Pelodiscus sinensis: one gene and its partner. The protein of the gene in region 2 interacts with the protein of the main gene of each other region in a biochemical or structural test. Links are inferred from orthologs where the notes say so. Each region holds a gene or a part of one and is shown on either strand. Other genes may lie near its edges.

Region 1 (7,475 bases), on a different chromosome or scaffold from region 2:
CACTGCTTTCCCTTCACTCTGGCCTCCATAAACATCTTTGTGAAACCACAGATGCTTAAGTCAGGAAAAGAACCTTTCCCAGCCTCCTCAATCTCATAATGAAGGGAACAGAGAGCTATTCCATTTATAAAAGAGCTAATTACTGACTGACTCAGAAGCAGGCCGTGTGCAAGACTCAGAGCTGGCAACTTTAAGTAATCAGAACCCCCTTGGGAAAGCAGTCCATCCCTTGACATCTTCCAAATCAGACTTTCTAGAAGATGTTTTAGTCATACACAAGTTCTTGGACTCAATCCAAGGGAGAACTGGGCAAAAACTGTCAGTGTTTCTCAACCTTTTTGATACCAGTGACTAGCCTACTGCCTTCCTAAACTGTGTCAGGGGAATATGATGGACTGGTGCCAGTCCACGGATCAGCCATTGAGAAACATAGGATTAGATGACCCAAGGTCCCTCTGGATCTACATGCAAGTCTTTCCACTGGGTTGCAGTCAGCTTTCAATGCCAGTGTAGGGCCTTTGCCGTAATCCTCAAAGCTATCAATGGATCAAAACCCAAAGTCCAAGAGCCCTTTATGAAAAGAGACCTATTGCTTGAAAATCAACTGCAGCCAAAATGACACCTCTTTCTACGCAATTAACTAACTCCCAGACAAGTAAAACAAAGCCATTTCCCAAATTACCAACTATTTCTGAAACATAGTATGGGGAGGGGGTAATTTCTTAAAAAACCCACAACCAAAGAGCCTCCTCTAACCAGAGCTTTGACTTCACAAAGGAAGAATGCACCAGACACACCATCAAGTGCACTAGGGTCTTGGCCGATATCCAGACATTATGGTGACTGTTAGCAGAAGAGACCTCTAAAATAGGTGGAAAAGGCCTATGCCATCTAGACAAAATCCAGTGGAAATGAAGATTATAGGGGTTTTCTAACAGGGCAGCAACTTTGCAGGTGTGGTCCCTAGAAAGGGAGAGAGAAACAGAGTGATTTTTTTTGCTTGTGGTAAGGCCAAATTTATAACAAGGATCACAAAAAGAACTAGCTACGTTCCTAGAGGAGGGTCCATCGATGGCTATTAGCCAAAGGATGCAACCCCATGCTGCAAATGTCCCTAAACCTCTGATGGCCGGAAGTTGGGACAAGATGACAGGGGATGGACCATTCAATAAATCTCCCTGTCCTGTTCATTCTCTCTGAAGCACCTGGCACCTGCCGCAGTCTGAACACAGGACACTGGGCTAGCTGGACTATTGGTCTGGTCCAGCGTGGCTGTTCTGATGTTCGGTTGAACAGCTCTTCCAGAAAGGCAGCCAAGCAGGGTCTGAATACACAAATTTGTTACAATAGATAATCAGTCTAATTGAAAACACCAGTGCTTATTTTTTGGGGGGGTTGGTGGGATTAAGTCCATTTCACCCCACACCAGCCACACCCATCTGAGACATAGCTAACACATACAGATGTGGAGTCTCACTTTGTACAGGCTACTCTCTCACTTCGGGGCCCTTTCCAAGCTGTTCATGCTGATAGCGAGGGAAAAGCCTCTGCAAAGCCCCAGAGTTTTACACAGGGCTCTGCTTTCCTGATCCCCACCCCAATATAACCATCCCTGAAGCCACATATACCGCATGTCCTTTCCCACACAAATACTAGGGCAGGTCGTTTACATAGCTTAAGATATCCCAAGAAGGGAGCAAGAGCCCCATCCATCCCTTCCTTCTCCCTGCCCCTCACACTGTTAGAGGCATCTGACTTGCAGCAAGGTATTCATGGGGAGGGGGGAGGAGCAAAAAGGTAGAACAGCCCAGAATTTTGCTTTTAGGAAGCGCTCCCTACAGCCTAAAGGCCAAGGACATCAGGCATATGCAGGAGGGAAAAGTGGTAAAACCCAAACTTACATGCACTTGCTCCATAGTATAGTCGTTTAACCAACTAGCAAAAGCTTATCGGTTAATGCAATAGACTATACACATTCCCCTTCCAACCCCCCACCGGTAAACTGTTTAGAAGGCTGGCCAGCAGCCCAGCTCAGTTCTGGCTCATGCCGGGTCCAGGAACTTAGACCCCCTCCCCCAGACAGAAGCTGCTGCCACCCTGTGCTGCTGCCCTTGTAACAGAGGCAAACAATTTAAAGGGTTATGGGAAGCAGATACAACTGCCAGTAAGGCCTGGGGAGAGGGATGGGGAGGGAGCAGAAACTCCAGAAGGGAGAGAGCCATAGGGGAGTGGCCATAGAGCAGAGGGACTCCTTGAGCAGGACCATGGGATAGTCTTGGAGAGTGAAATAAACTAAAGGTTCAGGATGGGATTACACGCTGGGGCAGATAGGTTCCAGGTGACGGGATCCTGATAGGATGGGGGCCTGAAAGAGAGCAGGTCCCTATGAGGGGTGGTTGCCAGGTCGAAGGGGGCTGAGCCTGGGGAAGATCTGGGGCCTAGGCTAAAGTCTCAGGACAGAGGATCTTGGGAGGGGGGGATGCCTACAAGGTGGAGCTCAGGCCCCAGAGGTGGGGAGCTTTGGGCGGGGGGGGGGAAAGGGGGCTGGACTTGATGACCTCCTGAGATCTCTTCCAACCCAAGGATTCTGGGGGGGAGGGGTGAAGAGTGCAGGGCAGTATTTCCCGAGGGGGAGGGGGACACGGCCCTGGAAGGCCCAGGTCAGTGAGGGAGTGGGCCAGGACGCAATGGGAGGGGGGGTGGAAGGGGACACTGGGCAGGAGACCCTGGGGGAGGGGCGGGATGTTGACTAGGGGACCCTCGACGGAGTGGGGGGCGGGGCTGAGGTTTGGGGGAACGCGGGGGGGGGGGGAGAATAGGGACTCTCCAGGGGGCGGGGCCTCTCACCAGCAGGTCCTCCACCGCCACCACTTCGCTCAACACCGACTCCATGGCGCCCCCGCCCCCCGGCACTGACCCGCCGCGCGCCCCGGAACGGGAAACACACCACACAGGGTCCCGCCCACTCATACGCCCCGCCCCCCCCTCCCGGCAGCTGCGCATGCGCCGCCTGGCCCCGAGACGGGAGGGGCAGGGAGGGAAGGGCTTGTTTGTCCCAAAGCGACAGCAGTCGCGGCCCCTCAGTTCCCGCCCAATCCTGTTCCAATGGCGGTGGGAGAGGCGATTACGCCTGCGTAGCGCGGGGCTAGGCCGAGCAGGGAGCTGCGCATGCGTACGGGATTGGCGGCGTTCGAGTCCGCTTAGTGACGTTGGGACTGGTCACGCCCTCATGGGCGGGCCCTTCTTCACCATGGCAACGAGACGCTGCGGCAGGGACCCCTCCCTCGTGTGGAGGCGTGTCCAGAATCTCATTCTCATAACAGCAAACCTGCCAGTCTAAGGGGGCAGTAAGGCTCCCTGGCTGCCCATCCTGGGCGATGAGCCCCCTTGGGGGAGGCAGACACTCAAAGGGTATCTCCAAGAAACTGTTTGAAAGTGGGGTGTAGAAGTGAAACACCCCCCACCCCTCATACTTCCCTGGAAACAAGGGTGGTAACACCCCTCCTTCCCCCCCCCACACCCAGTCCCTCCTCCCACATTAGACACATCAGACCAAGAGGAACTGCCTCCACCCTACCACATACACAAAAAAGGCAGGCGCCAGTTCAGGCCCATTTTTTCCCCTACTGTCCTGATATCCATATCTGCTGCTCTGTTCGTCAGATCCCTTTCCCCAAAGGGCACAGAGAACCCAGGAGTCCTGGCTCCCAGCTCTAACCCTCCTGCCCCCTCTCCTCTCCTAGAGCTGAGAAGAGACCCCAGGAGACAGTCCTGGCTCCCACCCTACTCCAAACTGCCACATCCCACTCCCCTCCCAGGCAAGGTGATGAGATGGAAAAGAGAGCCAGGACTCCCCTGCCAACACTGTGGAGATATGTTTACTTCAGACTTTGCATGCAGCACAGTGGGGCCCAGATTTCCAGGGCACAAGCTGGGCGCATAGTTCCCAACAGGGTGCGCGCTTGTGCGGCATGCAGGAAGAATTTAAGACATGCCCACCTCATTAGCAGAGCCACGCAGCAGCTCCTTCCAGCCTCTTGTCTCCCCCCCCCCCCATCCGTCGCAACAAGCCCTGGCCTCCTCTTTGGCTCCCCCATCCTTGTTCCTGGCCTCTTGGCCCCCCCTATTCCTTCCCTCTCCAGCTGCAGCCAACCCCGGCCACCTCCTCCCCTCGGCCCTCTCAGCCCCCCTCTGGCCACGGGAGGAAGGCCCAGGCTGAGACAGAGGGCAGTGGTAGCAGCAGCTTCTCACTGCACTGGTGGCCCCTGACGCTCTGGTACCCAGCAGGTAACTGCCGCCTCTGGTTGCTCCGGCCAGGCACACTGGGGCCTCCATGTGCCTGGAGCATCTGCCTGGAACCCTCCCTTCCTCCTGCCCCGCAAGATTAACGCACCAGCTAGGATTGCCAGTGTCCGGTTTTGAACCAGACAGTTCGGTATTTGAGCTTTCTGTCCAGGAAACAATTTGAGAAATACTGAACATATAAATGTCCGGTATTTTCTAATTAAATACGTTTTATTATTATCATGAGTATCAGTACGTAGTTGCGTACTGCCTGGCTGGTAGATGTGCCCACGCTGCGCGAGTGTGTCTACCAGCCAGGCAGTAGGCAAATATGCAGTGGAGGGCGGGGAGAGGAAGGGGGGCTGGGGCAAGATGGAACATGCCTGTGCGCCCCGCTAGTACCGGACAGGCAGCGCCCCGGGATCTGCATGTGCCCGAGCCAGCCCCTCTTCCCACAGGCCAGTCCACTCCACCCCGCTCTTCCCCCCGGCCAGTCCTGCTCCCCCCAACCCTGTCCTGGCCAGCCCTACTCCCCGCTGGCCATTCCCCCCCTCCCGATCTCCCCCAGTCATAGCCACTCCCCCCGACCCCCTCCAGACCAGCCCTGCTTCCCACCAGCCGGTTCCCCCCCCGATATCCCCCGCCAGCCCTGCTCCCCCTCACCTCCTCCCAACCAGCCCTGCTCCCCACTGGCCAGTTCCCCCCGATCTCTCCTGCCAGCCCCACTCCCCCTGACCCCCTCCTGACCAGCTTTGCTCCCCACCGGCCAGTTCCCCCCCAATCTCTCCTACCAGCCCCGCTCCCCCCGCGGCCGGGTCCGCCCCCCGCATCTGAGATCAAGTGTGTCCGATATTTTTGTCAAAACCATCTGGCAATGCTAGCACCGGCTTCCTGCAAGTGGGGGGGGGGGGGGGAGAAAACCCCAACCCGCCACGCTGGAGGCATCTGGTGGAGAAGCGCACGCGCTGCTGTGGGGAGGGCTGGGGGCTCCTTCCCCTCAACTGAAGCGCTAATCTTGGGAGGGTTCCAGGTAGGAACTCCAGGCATGTGGTGGCCCCAGTGTGCCTGGCCCAAGCAGCTGGAGGTGGCAGTTCCCCTGGGTCCTGCCAGCACAGCAAGGAGCCATTGCTGCTGCCCCCTGGTTCTCCTTCAGGGAAGCCGGGGGCCAGCAGGAAGTCCAAGGGGGGAGTGCGGAGAACAACCCTGAGCCATGGCCGCATTTTCCCTTTCTGGGGACTCTATTGGGGTTGGGGGGCAGGGTGATGTAGAGTGACGTGATGGCGTCATTCTGTTGCCCTGTAGGAAGAACTTTCTTTAATATATAGAGAGAAAATATGCAGAAGGATTTAATTCCTCAATCTTTCCACGGAGCTGATGTGCACCAGCTTTGATGAATGTACGATTTGTGATTTGTAAACCACTGAAATATTTAAAACAAACCCTGTTTCCTAGATAACTGTTAGATGGTGGCCGAGGTAATGAATGGTCTGTGAGCTCTATCACATCCGAGTCTTTAACTGCTAGGACAGAGTCCCTTCGCAGCGGGCAGCCAGGGAGGCTGACGGGTGCTCCAAGGTGGTGCAGAGAGAGCTCGTTACACCTGAGACTTCAACTGCTAGGACAAAAGTCCCTTCACAGCGGGCAGCCAGGGAGGCTGACAGGCACCCCAAGAGTCTGCCCTGTGGAGGCGGCACGACTCAACGCTCAGCTCTTACTGCGTTTACCCCTGACCAGCTATGGTTCTTTTTTATTGTGTTTGGTTCTGTTACAGCAACAGGAGGAGTCAAGTTAAAGCTTAAACAGTTACTATTTTATTGTTACAAGGCAAGCTTAGCTGTTAAATGTTACTGCTGTGTTACAGATAACGCAGCCACTACAAAAGACAACACAGAAAATACAATGAAAAGTCACTTAAAGGTACCATGAAACCCTTTTGGTTCTCTGAGCTCTTATTGAATGCGCACAAACAGACACCTAGCAGACACCCCTGCAATCCTTACTCCAGCAAAGCCAGCGTTTCTCTCAATACCAACGGGAAGCAGTCGATATGAGACGAAGGCGTCCCTAAAGTCTCAGGGGTCCAAAACCACCTGACCAGCAGGTATATGGATGGATCTCCAATTAGAGTGGAGCACAGGGCCCCACTTTATACCCCTGTGGTCATGTAGACGCTTCTCTTATCATTAAAATGCCAATTAAGTTGGAACGTCTTTGTGACGCCCATTCCCACAGGGGGTCCGAAGCTTAATTTGCACCTGTGAGGTGGAGGTAACTAAATCATTAGGGCCAGACAGTCTTTCTGATGGGGTGGCAGATTCCTCTTCTGTGTGTGTAGGCGTATCAATACTGGTACCAGCCAAGGGCAGCTCAAGGCCCCGATCGCCTGCTGGCCCAATCCCCCCTGTTATCTGGTTCCTGTCTAGCAGGGCCATTGTTATTCCAGCACCTCTGGAGGCCCTGGAGCCTTTGAAGACAGAGTTTCGCTCTCAAGGATTCTCTCTCTCAAGGATGTCAGAGAGAGGAGGGGAGAGGGGGGCGGGGTTTCTGTCTGGCTACAATAACAGGGAGCAATATGTGCACATAGTGCTCAGAAATGAGCCCATTAAATAACATACACTTTATGCTTGAAATGCAAGATTACAGTGATAACTATTTCGTTTCATGTATCAATTATAATCATAAACTATTTTCTTTGTTATATCAAGAAAATGGACAATTTTGTTTTATGCCTCAAAGGAACGGATACATGTAAGATACCAAATGGCTACTGAACATTTTGCAGTATATATATATATAATATTTAAAATGTTATAGAAGATATTTATAGTCACTGGCAGACGCCACGGTGGAACACATCTGCACAAGCGCACATGACCTCAGTATTGGTGCACATAACAAAACTCACTCCGGTCATGGATGGAAAATCTCAGTGGGAACAGTGGTTGGGGGCAGATTCACCCCAGTTTTGAGCAAATCCAGGGGGGCAGTGTGCAGCCACCACACATCAACCAGTGGGGCAGCATAGCCAAACCCAGCTGGTACCTCCAAGATGGCCTTCAAGCCCTTCAGTCCAGCGAGCGTTTGCAGACGGACATGAACTCCAAGGAATTTTCATAGTTATCCCAAGTGATAGCATCTGTAGGGAAGTGAGAATCAGTGAGAATAGGCGGGGAGCCAGGATTCCTGGGTTC
Region 2 (7,953 bases):
GGAGCAATGGGAGGAGACATGGCAGCAGAGAGAAAAAGCAGAGGTTTATAAGATACTTATTAATAACCTGGGTGATATTTATTAATAACTTATTAGTAATTACTGTTCTTATTCTTATTAGGAATTTATGCCATTAAAAAAAACCACTTTGTGGGGGAGCGTGGCAAGTCCCTTTTTTGTCTGGCGAGTAGGGTTTTCCATAATTTATCAACCCTTGGCCATTACGTTTTAAAAGGGTCACTATCTCCCCAGGTGGCTCTGCCTCTCCTCCTCCCCCCGTTTTTGAACTACCTTGGGTCACCAAGTCTTCCTGAATTGTCAAAATGGGTCCCCATCTCGAAAAGGTTGGGAACCGCTGCCCTAAAGCCTAGAGAGAGGAACAAGCTTGAAAGCCAGAGATCCTGCCTGAATCTGAATGTCTATATGTTTATTTTTAATGCTTCAGCTCAAGCTCCAGTCTGAACACACAGGCTCAGACTCACGGTCATGAGATCCTGCTTGTGATGGAGATGTACCAATCCTGCAGGTGAGTCCATGTAGCTAGATCCATGTAACACAGCTGTACCCATGGAAAGCTCCACTGAAGTCAGCAGGGATTCAAGAGTCTGTTCTAAGGATGTTAAAATGTGGTTAATTGACTAGTCAACAGGCACTTCCACACTCCTCCTTTGAAGTGTACAAGAGCCCCCGCAGGAATGCAGAACTCTGCATACAACCTGGGGCCAGAGGGAAGTCCCTCTGATTCTGGGCTGCACACAGGTGCCTGCTTTGAAATGCACAGGAGACCCCAGGGGCTCTTGTGCATATCAAATACATGGAGCCCAGAATCAGCAAGAGACTCCGAGTCCTTCGGGATCAGCGCTGCAGATTTTGGGTTCTGGAGAAATGCCACTGGGAATCCCCAGCTGATCCCAGGCTCTATGGCAGCTACCCCTTTAAAATGCCGCTTCTGGCATTTCAAAGGGGTAGCTGCTGTGGAGCCCAGGGTCAGCTGGAGACTCCCAGTTGATCCGGGCTCTGTGCAACAGCAGAACCCAGGGTCAGCTAGGGACTCCCAGCTGATCCCGGGCTCGCTGTGGCAGCGGAACCCAGGGTCAGCTGGAGAGTCCCCAACTGTGCAGCACTGCCACTTTTAAGTACCTTTCCCCCCACTGCCTCTCTCTCATAGAGGCAGCGGGGAGCAGGGGGGAATCGACTAGTCAAAAGACTATCTGATAAGTTTATCGGATAATTAACTAGTCTTTAACATTTCTAGTCTGTTCACGTAGCTATACCACAAAGTAAAGCCAAAATATATAGGCACTGCCTAATTTCTATTCCAGTTGCTATTATCATTACAGGGATATGGTCAACTTACATAGCTACGGTAAACCTTTCCTTTTTAACCCACAGAGTGCCTTAAATTACTACATAAAAATGAAAGGTTTTTAAAAATTGAATTTAGTTGGTAACTAAATATGTGCTTCACTTTCTGCATTCTTCCAAGTGTAGAAAATGAAAAAAAAAACAACAGTTCTACTACTGTTAACTCCTTTCACTTTCAGTGTCCTTGTACTCAACACTTGGGTTTCAAACACAGCTAGGGATGTGAAAGATTAAGCAAAATGCAGGACAATGTAGCACTTTAAAGACTAACAAGATGGTTTATTAGATGATGAGCTTTCGTGGGCCAGACCCACTTCCTCAGATCAAATAGTGGAAGAAAGGTTGTGACTACTTTCTTCCACTATTTGATCTGAGGAAGCGGGTCTGGCCCACGAAAGCTCATCATCTAATAAACCATCTTGTTAGTCTTTAAAGTGCTACATTGTCCTGCATTTTGCTTCAGCTACCCCAGACTAACACGGCTACATTTCTATCACTACTCAAAGATTAAGCTGTAAGCCTTGCCCTTAATGGGTGAAGCTTACTGGTGACAGGGTAAGGGATAGGGGCTGGAGCTGGGGGCTGAAGCAGCAGAGCCACAGCAGGCCCAGCTCAGGCATGCAGCAGGGGTGCTCCAGCCTGGCCAAAGAAGATGGAATAGCGGTTTGCTTCAGACCCCCCCCCCTCCTTTAACTAATTACATGGGATTTTACACCCCTACACTACACAGGAAGCTTTTTCTAAGAACTATTTCTCAGTCTGATCAGGATAACTTAGGAGCGGTCTCTAGTTTGATAACTTGCCTTAAAGAAAATGATACGCCACCCGTAAGCAGGTAGCATGCCTTGAAATAATAGTACGTTTAAAAAAAAAACAAAACCTATTAGCAGGGCTTCACTCAAACAGTCATTTGTTGCAACGGCTTTGAGCCAACCCCGGGTTGTGGTTTTTAAACCCTTGCACCCAGGGGCCATGTACCACCACAGAGTCACATACCTGCAGGGGATCTTCAACGTCCCCACGTGAGAGGAGAGCAGAGCGACGCGGGGGGGGGGGGGGGACGGACAGATGTTGCGTTAGGGGGAGGCGCCTGGCCAGCGCCGAGCTTCCTCCTACACCCCCCTTCCCAACGGCGCGCGCGGCCGCAGCAGCAGGAAGGTCAAGCCCAGGCTCGAGCGGGGGCCTAGCGGCGGGCCCGACGCGGCAGGCGGGGGGCAGCAGCGCAGTCACCTTCAGCGGGCGCCGGCCACTTCCCGCCCCCCGCCGAAAGGGGAACAGCCCTGCCGGGGCCGGGCGCTCCCCTGGGGGCGGGGCCGGGCGCCCCCGCAGGCTGGCGGGGCCCACGCGAGGCCAGCCCCCCCCATTCACTCTCTGCTGCCCTTCCCCGCGCAGGGGCCGGGCCCGCTCACCTGCGTCCCCACCACCACGATCTGCGGCAGCTGGATGATGTCGGCGCCCACGGCGTTGAACACGTCCTGCAGCTTGTTGATCACCGGGATCAGCGCCTCCATGGCGGCGGGGCGCGCGGCGGCGGCGATGAATGGAGCCCGCGGCCAACGGCTCTATCGCCTCCTGCTCCCCCCTCCCTCGGCCGCTCTCCACCACGGGCGCCGGCCCCGCGCCCAGCTCGGCCTCAGCAGGCTGTGTGCGCGCGCGCGCCGCCCGCCCTCCGCGGGTCGCGGCCGCCGCAAAGCCCGTCGGGAGTTGTAGTGCCCCGCGCCTGGCAGCGGCGCCCCCGCGTGGTTCCCAGCGGCAGCGCCGGGCGGAGCAGAGGCGAGCACCCCCTCTGCGGGAGCGGGAAAGAAATGTTACCCCCGCCGCCTCCCGCCATAGACCGCCAATCAGCAAACAGCTTCTGTGCTACCGAGCTGCTGGAGCTGCTGCGGATGGGCCCGCTCCAGGTTGCAGCACGAAGAGCCGCAAAAGCAGGTGTATAGGCAGAAAGTGCTACTCAGCGCCTGTACTGTAACAATTGGTATTAATAGGACAGGGGCACTGGAACGAAGTCGCTGGAAATCCCACGACTAACCCAACCTCTGATCCTGCTCCAGCCGTGCAGTAGGTCTCTGGTGCCATGGGTTACCCCTGGGCCCCAGGGGCCTGGTCTACCCAGAAATTAAAGATTACTTTGTTTAAAAATTATTCCTATAAGATTACAAAACGACCAGGAATTAATCCAACCCCACTATGCAACTCTACCCTGCAGTTTCTGCAGCACGTTTCTTCTCTCTATGGCAAAGCCCGTCACCATACTTACAAAATGCCCTTGTCCCTTTCCAGGGTACAGATGTTCAGTAATGGGAAAGAAAAAAATACACTACTGAAGATACCCCCTACCCCAAAAAAGTTTTCCTCAAACTGCTGCAAGACTACAACTGTGCACAACTGCAAGTTTTCTTCTGGTTGTAGGAGTTATTTTCAGTAGTCACTGAAAGAAAGTGGCACATTAGGCTACCACACAACTCAGAGACTAATGAACCCCAATCAGCACAGACAGTACAATAGAGAAATATGTACACAATGTCTCTGAAATGAACTTCTAGGAGAAAATCTGGTTGTAAAAACAAGTGCATATCTATGCTATAATTTCCATTGTTTCCACAGATGCAACTGCACCTGTTGCACATAGACTTCAGCCGTGTATAGCGCTCTATTAATACAAGTAACGAAAAATGATTACATAAGCATTACCACTGAAGCAACTTGTCTGAGAGCAAGTTGTTGCACTGGTAAAAGGACATTGACCTTGCAAGTCATCCAAGGAGGAAAAAGAGGGTAGTGAGAGGGATATGAAAGTACCATAACAGAATAAACATTAATTTTTGTAACTGTCACATTCAGATACTGGTCTAAAATTTCACCAAACCAGAAGTAAAGCTGAGGAAGTGTTCCAGCTCAGATCCATTGTACCAGGACTCATGAGGGCAACTGCTTGTCATCTTCTCTGCATCATTCTTATTCCCAGTCAGTAGGATGTATTTTCCAACTGCATTTGGATTTACTATCTTTTTATGTTTTTACAAGTGAGGCATCTATTATAGCAACATTATAACTACTGGAATTATTATTTCACAATAAAAGTTTAAGGCAAAAATGAACTAATTTTAAACCAACATTCATGGAAGAGAAAGTTAAAGCCAATGCAACTTAAGTGCAGAAAATTGTACTTGAATGACTCTACTCCGTAAGGAAAAGTCCAAAAAAGTCCAAGTTGAATATATTATTTCCAGTAATGATACAGTAATCTGCTGTGATTGTCCTATAGTGGCATCCATTAACTTTTGGAGCACAAACTCAAATATTCCTGCCAGGAAAGAACACTGAAATACTGAACCTGTGAATACAGGTCTGGCTCTGGCACACCACACAGATTCATTCTTACAGCAACCTCAGCTCAATGCTTCACACAATTCTTGGCCACTCTCCTGTTTTTTCTTTACTGGCTGAGTGGCTGACATTCCCAGTAAAGAGAAACCACATGGAACCCACCTTCCCGTTAAGCAAGAAGATAGAAAGTTTTGCATTCCAATCAGCACCCTGAATAGAAGACACCTTTGCTACAAAAGAATGGAGGCTGCTGCCATCTGAAACATATTCTCTATGGGCATGCATAAACATGGTTCTTTCAAAAAAAAAATACACCCTTTCCTATACTCATTTTTGGAGGAGTACAGGATCTTTTGAAAAAGGTTTCCACCCCCACCCTGAAAGATTCAGGTATACATAGCAGTTTCACTTTTGAAATACCCTTTTTCAAAAGAATGCTGTGATGTAATTATGCAAATGAAGCACAGGATATTTAAATTCCCACTTCATTTGCACTTTCAATCTGCCTAATCTACATCCCTCTTTTGAAAGAGGGATGTAGTTAAGACACCCTGTGGTTGCGTCTAGATTGGCATGATTTTGCGCAAATACTTTTAACGGAAAAGTTTTTCTGTTAAAAGTATTTGCGCAAGAGAGCGTTTATACTGGATTGTGCCTTTGCGCAAAAGATTTGCTTTTGTGCAAAAGCATCCATGCCAGTGTAGACGCTCTCTTGTGCAAGAAAACTCCGATGGCCATTTTAGCCATTGAGCTTTCTTGCGCAAGAAATCAACTTGGCTGTCTACACTGGCCCTCTTGCGCAAGAGGGCTTATCCCTGAGTGGGAGCGTTGGAGTATTTGCGCAAGAACCACTAATTTTGAACAGTACAAAGTCAGTATTCTTGTGCAAATACTCGCGGCCAGTGTAGACAGGCGGCAAGATTTTGCCAGTCTGGACGCATCCATTGTGTCTGTCTGTCTGCCATTGTGTCTGTCTCTTTTCTTCTATTAGTTGCATTTCTGACACTTAGTGGCTTGTGAAGATCACTGACAAGGCAGATACAGACTGTTGCAGGAGTGGGCAATAACTTTTGACCAGGAGCCACTTCAAAAATTTCTGAAATTTTTGAAGTGGCCCAGAGCTGCCCTGGAAGGGGCAGGGCCTCAGACAGACAGAGTGGGGCCCCGGCACTTCCATCCTTCCCCACCCACTTACCCTGATTGCCTCCCTATAGAACTGCCAGCTGATAACAGCTGGTGGTTCCCCCTAGGTACCTCTGCTCCTGGCCGTGGGAGGAGTCTTCACATGCTCCTCCTGATGCCCCCAGCTCAATCAGGGCCTGGGAAGGGGGAGCATATGAAGTCTCTCGTTCCCTGCCCCAGCCCTGCAAGGGAGCACCCTGCTTAGAGCCAATCACCAGCTGAGCAGCAGTTGATTTAAGTGCTGAGCCCCTTTCAGGGCAGGAGGAAACTTCACACTCTCCTTCCACCCCTAAGCCTTGATTGTTCTCAGCAGGTGGAGCGCATGAAGTCTCCTCCTGCCCTGCCAGAGTGGAGGCAGAAGGGAAGAGAAGATCTTTTGGGAACTAAAAAGACACTGGAGACATCTAACCGGAGAGGAAAATTAGGAAGGGGAGGAAAAATGAATGTAGATGGAACATGTACAGGAGGGATTAGTCAATTCATCAAAAAGAGAAAGGAAAAGGCAAACAAGGTCACAAATGTTTGTGTCACTATATTTTATTTTTGTGTCAAAGAACTGGGAGTGGGAAAAGAATTTTGTTTTGAGACATTGAAACTCTTGGTGACTCATGAGACACAGCACTTACCTCAGTCCAGTTACAGCAGAGTCCACAAGAAAATCTCAATTTGCTCTAGCTGTCTAAAATATAGATGTCATGGTCACATGCCCCCATGCTTTATGAAAACTGGTTTATAAATATGAATATGCATAACATGAACATGTGTTATGCAAAAGAGATCATGTAGCATATTTTCAAAATTGCAGTCTGCTGAGTCTGTATATCGTATTTTTGTGCGTGTATCATTCTTGTATGCGAAGCTGGAAGTCCGAAGTGTGAATCTGGTTTTAACTGTAAATGTGCTAATGAGGTCCATTAGTGATATTTCAGGTACTTAATGGCTCAGTATTCAAACCGTGACCCATAATTATTTCTTGTAAGCCCAAACACGAGGCTGATCCTAGAAAGACATGTAATCATGTCACCTCATACTGTGTAAACAATTGTCACTGATAAAAAAGGCTGACCTTATGAGCTTTCTCTGTGTAAGTTTTACACAGAGTAAGATTAAATTATTTTAGCTTTTGGTTCCTTTGTGGGGTTGGTTTCCTGGGTGCTACCAGCAGCGTTATAGCTGAGTCCTCACAGAGCTGAGCAGGTTCAGCATCTGTGGTGTTTTGAAGGGTGATTGTAACCCCCAACTCTATGCCTTGGCTGGGGGGAATCAGAGCTTCTGGCCCAGAGGGACAGGGTTGTGAGGATCCCCAGAAGGCAGGCACCAGTGGCTTGATCAGCACATTGGAGGTCAAGCTGTAATACAACCCATCACAATTAAAATTAGGTATGAACAGATTGCGCCCACGAAAGCTCATGATACCATCTACATGTTGTGTTAGTCTGTAAGGTGCTACTAGACTATTTGTTGTTTTTTACTTGTTTATTATTAGCTAATTGAAATTAATATAATGGCAATTGCCATATTGGATCAGACCCAGGGTTATCTAGTTCAGTATCTTGTCTTCAACAGTGGTACCACCAGATGCTTCAAGTGAAGAACAAAAACAAAAGCCAAACCCCAATAACTCACCTTCCCCAAAACAACTAAACAAACAGATATTAGATCATTTATCCACTACATTTGGTCTCATACTGATATCTAATAATTGCAGTTTGGCTTAAGCTCTGAAGCAGAAGGTTTAACATTCTTTCCAACATTTAATTACTTAATACTTAATTATAAACTGGATGTTCTTGTTTTCCATATAAATGTCCAATCTTTGTTTTAATCTTGCCAAGTTCTGGTCTTTAATGATTTCCTGTAACAGTGCATTCGACAGTCAAATTGCACATTGTGTGAAGAAGTATTTCCTTTTATCAGCTTTGAATTTGCTACCTTTTAATTTCATTGAATGTTCCTTTGCTTTCTTGCTCGGAGACAGGAAGAACATAAATTTCCAAATTATCTTCTCTAGATCATTTATTATTCCATATATTTCTATCTCGTGACCACTTACTCATCTCCTTTCTAAAGTAAACAGCC

Evidence for each region.
Region 1: the proteins of DNM1L (region 2) and FIS1 form a complex in vitro, tested with the Homo sapiens proteins (2 studies listed by BioGRID). The link is inferred for Pelodiscus sinensis from reciprocal best matches to the Homo sapiens genes DNM1L and FIS1.

The regions. Positions count from the first base shown.
Region 1 is NC_134734.1:11,581,147-11,588,621, forward strand, and holds the start of FIS1 (mitochondrial fission 1 protein), read right to left. Parts: upstream 3,005-7,475; 5' UTR 3,004-3,004; coding exon 2,848-3,003; intron 1-2,847. Other genes in the region: snaclec alboaggregin-A subunit alpha-like, read right to left, coding at 7,350-7,420. UniProt on the Homo sapiens protein: Involved in the fragmentation of the mitochondrial network and its perinuclear clustering. Plays a minor role in the recruitment and association of the fission mediator dynamin-related protein 1 (DNM1L) to the mitochondrial surface and mitochondrial fission.
Region 2 is NC_134711.1:105,496,781-105,504,733, forward strand, and holds the start of DNM1L (dynamin-1-like protein), read right to left. Parts: upstream 3,014-7,953; 5' UTR 2,877-3,013; coding exon 2,775-2,876; intron 1-2,774. UniProt on the Homo sapiens protein: Functions in mitochondrial and peroxisomal division.